Rattus norvegicus: one gene and its partner. The protein of the gene in region 1 interacts with the protein of each later gene in a biochemical or structural test. Links are inferred from orthologs where the notes say so. Each region holds a gene or a part of one and is shown in the gene's direction. Other genes may lie near its edges.

Region 1 (3,750 bases):
GGTCCTGTTCTGTAGTCTAGGTCACTTAGAACTTCAGATTCTCCTACCTCAGTCTACTAAGTGCAGACAAGGTAGGTACTACCAAATCTAGCTAAAGCATGTGACTTAAAAATTTTAAACATATATTGTGTGTATATAGATGTATATAAATATATGTATTATATATTGTATACATACATATACACATGTTTATATGTATACACACACACGTGGGGTTCATGTATGCCATAGCATGGATGTAGAGGTCAGAAAACAACTTTTGGGCATTTATCCTTCTACCATATAGGTTCCAGGGATCAAATCCAGATCGTCAGGCTTCTCAGCAAGATCTTTTTTTTTTTTTTTTTCGGAGCTGAGGACCGAACCCAGGGCCTTGTGCTTGCTAGGCAAGCGCTCTACCACTGAGCTAAATCCCCAACCCTCTCAGCAAGATCTTTTATCTGATGACCCATCTCGGTGGCTCAAGCATGCTGCATTTATTTCCTTTTTATTTTGTCCTGCATTTTTATGTAAGTGGATATTAAGTATGCACGATGTCAGTGCACTACATGAATGTAATGTCGGCAGAGGCCAGAAGAGGGCGAGTATTAGATCCCGAGTGAAAGCGGGTTGTGAGCTGCTGGGAATGGACCCCAGAGCAGCCAGAGTTCCAGACAGTTGAACCATTTCTCCTGTTCAGGTTTTTTGATTTGTTTGGTTACAGTGTTTCACTGTGTAACTCTGGCTGTCCTGAATTATGTAAACCTGCTAGTTTTGTGCCTAACTCTTAACACGCCTTTCTGTTCTGCCCATCCTCAATCTTAAATCCGTAATCCGCATCAAAGTGGTTTTTCTCTTCAGACACACTAGAAGAGGGCATCTGATCCCATTACACATGGTTGTGAGCCACCATGTAGTTGCTGGGAATTGAACTCAGGATCTCTGGAAGAGCAGTCAGTGCTCTTAGCCGCTGAGCCATCTCCCCAGCCCCCTAAAGTGTTTTAATTGTCAGCATGGCGGCACACACCTTTAATTTCAGTACCAGGGAGGCAGAAGCAGACATGGGCGGATCTCAGGGAGTTTCAAATTAGCCAGGCTACAGAGTAAGGCCCTATCAAAAAACAAACAAACAAAACCAGGTCGTTAGTATACGTTAGTATACTATACTATACTGCTCTGCACTAAACTGACAAGTTTTGAGATTGTTTTGAGCATCGCCAGGAATTCGGATTTAACTTGAGTCTGGATCCCTAAAATCCAGGGGAACTCCTCAGAATGCCGAGGGTATCGGTGTGAAGCCGAGTCTCTGTCCCGTCACCTCTGACACCTCCTAGGGAAGCTTAGAAGGTTTACGAATAAACAGTTTACTCAATTCACGCCTGGGTTAGGAGAAGCCGCTTATCTTTCGACCTTCTCAAGATGGCGGCTCTACAGTCCGCTCGAGCTACTCTAGCCACTTCCGAGATGGCGGATCCAAGCGGCCTACCTCAGGGCAGGCCCGAAAAATCTCGCGTTAGGTGAGGCTAACGCGCCAGTTCTCGCGAGAGAGCGCTCAGGCCAGCTAGGCGTTGTGTGATCAGCAGCTGGCGCGGAAGCTTCAGGTGGACAGTGATCGGTAAGGGGGTTTGAGGCGGTAGGCCGGAGGGCTGGCGGGGGCTCGGGAGGTGTACCGGCCGCAGCCAGAGCCGGATGTGCGAGCTGGCATAGGCGGAAGGACTCGGGTTCGCGATCGCCTGGACCAGGCTGCCGGAAGTGCGCCTGGGGATTTTCTTCTCCAGTGGAACTTGCAGGGAAACTGAGGCTCAGGGTGGAGCTCCGGGTCCTGGGATGCGCTGAGGCCGCCGTTTTCCTCTGCAGTTGCGGAAGATGTCGGACAGCGAAGACAGCAACTTCTCGGAGGAGGAGGACAGCGAGCGCAGCAGCGAGGCGGAGGAGGCCGAGGTCAGTGCCTAGGATTCTTAGGGGAGACGTTGCGCCTAGGGACGGGCAGGGCAGAGAGGGCCCTATGGGAGCCGGGGAGTCGGAACGGCTGGGGTCTCCCAGGTTGTCGGGAGAGATGGACGAGTGTGCAAGTCAAGGTGGAGCAGAGGGACAGGATCCGGAAGGTGGGGGATGCGTTCAGACGTCGTTGGTTTTTTTTTGTCACGTATCTGATTTGCTTCTTTTTGTTTATTTTTATTACTTGCGGTGCTAGGATTGAGTTCAGGGCCATGCTAGGTGCACACTCTCGTCTAGTTAGCCTCAGCTCTTAGTATTCTTTCGTGTTTGTGTTTTTAGGTATGCCCAGTTGTTCCAGAAGTGTATACGTATTGCCTACTCTGTGCCAGCCACAATTGTTTGTCCTTGGGCTCCTGTTAACAGATTTTAAAATGTAAATCGACAACTGATAAGTGAACATGAATTTGCTAATGTGAATACATATAGCCAATTAATATAAGACTCCTAGGTTCAGCATTACTAATCTGAAAATCCAAATTATTTTGTAACTTTGAGTCTTGTATTGATGCCCCCGAATGGAAAATTCCACATGTGACAGGTCAAAGTCAAGACACTGTGCACTAAAAATACTGTATTAGATTACTGTACACATATATGAATTTCACATATATGAATTTCATGTATTGTCCCATCCTAAGGTATCTTATTGTGTATGTGCAAATAATCCAAAAATCCTCCAAGATCTGAAATACGTATATTTTGGATTTTTAAAATTGTTCGTTTGCCTTTTTTTTTTTTTTAAGGTTTATTTACTTATTTATACAAATATACTGTAGCTATCTATCTCTTTATAGATGGTTGTGAGCCACCATGTGGTTGTTGAGATTTGAACTCAGGACCTCTGGTAGAACAGTCAGTGCTCTTAGTCCTGAGCCATCTTTCCAGTCCATTCGTTTGCATTTTTTTCCCTAAAGATTTATTTATTTTATGTATATGAGTACACTGTAGCTGTCTTCAGACACACCAGAAGAGGGCATTGGATCCCATTACAGATGGTCGTGAGCCACCTTGTGGTTGCTGGGAATTGAACTCAGGACCTCTGGAAGAGCAGTCAGTGCTCTTAACCGCTGAGCCATCTCTCCAGCCCTCATTTGCATTTTTGAGGCAGAGTTTCTAGGCTTGGCTGGCCTTGAACTCAGATCTGCTTTCGTCTGCCTCCTGAGTTGAACCGCTTGAAATCTGAAATCTATTCACATCTTGTCTGAAACTGTGAATTAAGGATAAGGATATGTGGCCTGAGATAATCCTTTCTAGTACTCTGGTGAAAAATCCAAGCACAGAAAGGGAGTAGAGGATCCTAGCTGCACTTTCAAGCAGTTGGTCACAGTGAGTTAGAGTGACATTTGAATGGAGAGTTCTGGAAGAGAGGGGTAAGTCATATGGCTATATATTTTTTCTTTTCTTTTTTTTTTTTGTTTTTTGTTTTTTGTTTTTTGTTTTGTTTTGAGATGGGATCTCCTAAATGTAACCTTAGTTGGCCTAAAACTAGCTATGTAGGTCAGGCTGGCAGACTCTATCTGCCTTTGCCTCCCAAATGCTGGGACTAAAGATGTGCCCCACCATGCCTGACCCTCCCTGCCTTCTTTTAATAATGGTGATAGAACTCAGGGCTTTGTACGCATTAAGTATGATGTACACAGTAAGTATGAGCTCTGCCACTGAGCTACATCTTGTTAAATTTAGCGCGAGGAAGGGGGCTCTGTGTGTGTGTGTGTGTGTGTGTGTGTGTGTGTGTGTGTGTGTGTGTATAGGGAGTTAGTTCTTGGGCTAGAA
Region 2 (3,650 bases), on another chromosome or scaffold:
CATACCTTTAATGCCAGCACTTGGGAGACAGAGACAAGAAGATCTTTCTGAGCCTGAGACCACCTGGGGCTACATATACTGAGACCTGGGGGTGGGGGAAGATTGATTTTTATTTTTGTGTATGAGTGTTTGCCTGCATTTGTGTGCATGCAGTACCTGTGGAGGCCAGAGGTGTCAGATCCTCTGGAACAGGAGTTAAGTGGTTGTGAGCCACTAGAGCTGCTGGGAACAGAACTCCTCAGCAGCAGCAGCAGCAGTTTTCTTAACTGCTGAGCCGGGTCTTTACCCAGGGCTTTCTTCTTCAGTGGGTTGCAGTGGAGCTGTGATGCCGATGTCTTAGTCTTATGAATAAGAAAGAGTCCCTCCCTTTCCCGCCAGTGTCAGACGGACTTGGAAGCACTCACATGCACAAGGCCCTGCATTCAGTCACCTGCACTCAGAGACGGACTAGATCCTTCCTTTGCCCAGCTCCTCTGAGATAAGGTCTCTTGGAGCTCCGGCTGGCCTTGAGCCTTGCTGTTAGGAGGCTGACCTTGACTCTTGATCCTCTTGCCTCTGCCTCTGGTTTAAGTCCTGGGGTTAAGTGCTGGGATTGCAAGCACGCACCACCATGCATAGAAATTTCCTTTATTTTTTATTAGTTCAGACTAATTGTAAGTTTGGCGAATTATAATTTTTGCCTCTAGAAGCTTAGAGTTTCTTAAATCTTTTCTTTTCATACAAAGCCTCACAAATTTTCTAGAACTTATTTAAAGGCTGGCCGCAGCCCTAGGCAGTTATACTGAATGTTTAAGATCGGCTTCCTTTTCTCGGTGTAAATGAGTGCCTCTTAAGTACTCAGGGGTAGAGGCAGGAGGATCTCATATGCCTGGTCTCAAACAAAAACCCACCTCCAGTACAACAAAGGAACAAAAAGCCATGAACAAGTTCTCTGTAGGTGTTGTTTCCGTGTATTGCAACTTAGTAAAATGCTTGTTGCTTCATTCTAGGCATACCAGGCTGCCATGAAAACCAAACCGGATGACCGGGGAGCGGATGAAAACACATCGGAGCAGACGATTCTCAATATGATTTCTCAGACCTCTTCAGACACAACTATCGCAGGCTTAATGAGCATGTCAGCCGCGTCTACAGGTGCAGTGCCTTCCCTGCCTGCCTCTGAAGAGTCCTCGAGCAGTCTAACTAGCGTGGACATGTTGCAAGGCGAGCGGTGGCTGTCTTCTCAACCTCCCTTTAAACTAGAGGCTTCTCAGGGTCATCGGACTAGTGAGAATTTAGCACTTATTGGAGTTGATCATTCCTTGCAACATGATGGTTCGAATGCATTTGTTTCCCAGAAGCAGACTAGCAAGAGTGTGCCATCAGCTAAAGTTTCACTTAAAGAATACCGTGCAAAGCACGCTGAAGAGCTGGCTGCTCAGAAGAGGCAGCTGGAGAACATGGAGGCCAATGTGAAGTCACAGTATGCATATGCTGCCCAGAATCTCCTATCTCATGACAGCCATTCTTCAGTTATTCTGAAAATGCCCATCGAGGGCTCAGAAAATCCTGAACGTCCTTTTCTGGATAAGGCTGACAAATCAGCCCTGAAAATGAGACTCCCAGTGGCTGGTGGAGATAAAGCGGCCTCTTCAAAACCGGAGGAGATAAAAATGCGCATTAAAGTGCACTCTGCAGGTGACAAGCACAACTCTGTAGAAGACAGTGTTGCCAAGAGCCGAGAGCACAAAGAGAAGCAGAGGACTCACCCGTCTAACCACCACCACCACCACAACCACCACTCACACAAGCACTCTCACTTACAGCTGCCAGTTGGCCCTGTGAGCAAACGACCAAGTGATCCAAAACACAGCAGCCAGACAAGCACCTTAGCACACAAAACCTATAGCTTGTCTAGTACTTTGTCTTCTTCAAGCTCTACTCGTAAAAGGGGGCCCCCAGAAGAGACTGGGGCAGCAGTATTTGATCATCCAGCCAAGATTGCCAAGAGTACTAAATCATCTTCCTTGAATTTCCCCTTCCCGCCTCTTCCTACAATGACCCAGTTGCCTGGGCATAGCTCAGACACAAGTGGCCTGCCCTTTTCACAGCCTAGCTGTAAAACCAGAGTTCCTCATGTGAAACTGGATAAAGGCCCTCCTGGGGCTAACGGTCACAACACAACTCAGTCAATAGATTATCAAGATACTGTGAATATGCTCCACTCCCTGCTTAGTGCCCAAGGTGTTCAGCCCACTCAGCCCCCTGCATTTGAATTTGTCCATTCTTATGGTGAATATATGAATCCGAGAGCTGCTGGCATCTCCAGATCTGGCAACACAGACAAACCTCGGCCACCACCCCTCCCGTCAGAGCCCCCTCCACCTCTTCCACCTCTTCCTAAGTGAAAAAAAAGGCAAAAACTTCAAAAACAAAAAACACTTTTTTGTTTTGTTTTTTTCTTTTTTGTTTTGACTACTGATACTAGACTACGAAAATTACATCCCTTATGAAATATGTCACCTAAGGAATAGATTGCTATTTGAGACAGGTGGGGGGTGCTGGAGGGCCTCAGTTATTACATCTGCTGCCTCCTACACCTGTAGTTGGTACCGGTGTTAGAGAGGTAGGGTTGTGTGGAAGCTGTGAAGGAGGACTAAGAACGCGCTATGGCCTCTCCTCATCCTAACTAGGTTGATTGGAGTAGTTCTCTTCCCTCTTCTCGCCAGAACTGGAATGTGGAGGGCGTGTCCAGCAGTGTGGATTCTTTTGGGGTTTAACATATCAGAAGAGAGGAAGTATTTAAACGTCAAATCTTTAAGAGACTTTTAAAAAATAATTTAAAGAAAGTAAGTTATCTGTTTAGTTTTTTTTATATATAATTGGGAAGGGGAAAGGGATTTTGCTGTGTGTATGAGGAACATAGCAATGACTGGGGGTCGGAGGGTGGGAATGTGTGCAGGTTGGGCGGGAGGGTAGGCTTTGGCCAAGAGTGAAATAGGCTCAGGCCACTTGAAGTATTGAGATCTTTAAAGTGTGTGCGTGCGTGCGTGTGTGCGTGCGTGCGTGTGTGCGTTTAAAATCATGTTACCTTTTTCCTCCCACTCTTAGCCATTTTCACATCTCAACATTCTATTAGAGAGCATAGTTGGCCTTGAAGCTATAAAGAGGCCTGTAATGACAGTGTGAGTCCTCCCCTCCCTTCGCCACATGGTTATCTTGTAATTGAGTAGTAGCCCTCTAGCTTCTAGTTTGGGCAGGTGTAGCCAATGCCCTAACTCTCTAGCACCATTATGGAAACTTCCCTTTTACTCCATTTTGAGTTTTCAATGCGGAATGGAAGTGGGCTTGAGGAAGAAGCCTAAAAGCAGGGCTGGCCAATTCCCTACAGAATCCAGGTTGGGCTTTGTGAAAGCTCAGGTCTCTGAAGGGAAGAAAGGTATGCTTGCTTGTCCTCTCTGGAAAAACCAGACCATGTGTGATAATAGGATTGGGAGAAGCCAGGGAGTTAATGATACTAAAGACAATGAAATTGTGATTTGGGAATCTGAAGACTTTGTGTTTGTTACATTATGAATGTAAGATTTGCTTTTTATCTGTTTATCTAATGGGAAACAACTGCACACTTGCAGTTTGCAGCCTGTCTGACTTGAGAGACGGTTGGAATTCAA

What was found. The genes of interacting proteins can lie anywhere in the genome.
Region 2: the proteins of Supt5h (region 1) and Ccnt1 form a complex in vitro, tested with the Homo sapiens proteins (2 studies listed by BioGRID, with this or other methods). The link is inferred for Rattus norvegicus from reciprocal best matches to the Homo sapiens genes SUPT5H and CCNT1.

Annotation. Positions count from the first base shown.
Region 1 is NC_086019.1:92,742,216-92,745,965, reverse strand, and holds the start of Supt5h (transcription elongation factor SPT5), read left to right. Parts: upstream 1-1,520; 5' UTR 1,521-1,594; exon of another isoform or gene 1,595-1,836; 5' UTR 1,837-1,845; coding exon 1,846-1,920; intron 1,921-2,256; exon of another isoform or gene 2,257-2,350; intron 2,351-3,750. UniProt on the Homo sapiens protein: Component of the DRB sensitivity-inducing factor complex (DSIF complex), which regulates mRNA processing and transcription elongation by RNA polymerase II.
Region 2 is NC_086025.1:131,569,412-131,573,061, reverse strand, and holds part of Ccnt1 (cyclin-T1), read left to right. Parts: intron 1-989; coding exon 990-2,387; 3' UTR 2,388-3,650. UniProt on the Homo sapiens protein: Regulatory subunit of the cyclin-dependent kinase pair (CDK9/cyclin-T1) complex, also called positive transcription elongation factor B (P-TEFb), which facilitates the transition from abortive to productive elongation by phosphorylating the CTD (C-terminal domain) of the large subunit of RNA polymerase II (RNA Pol II).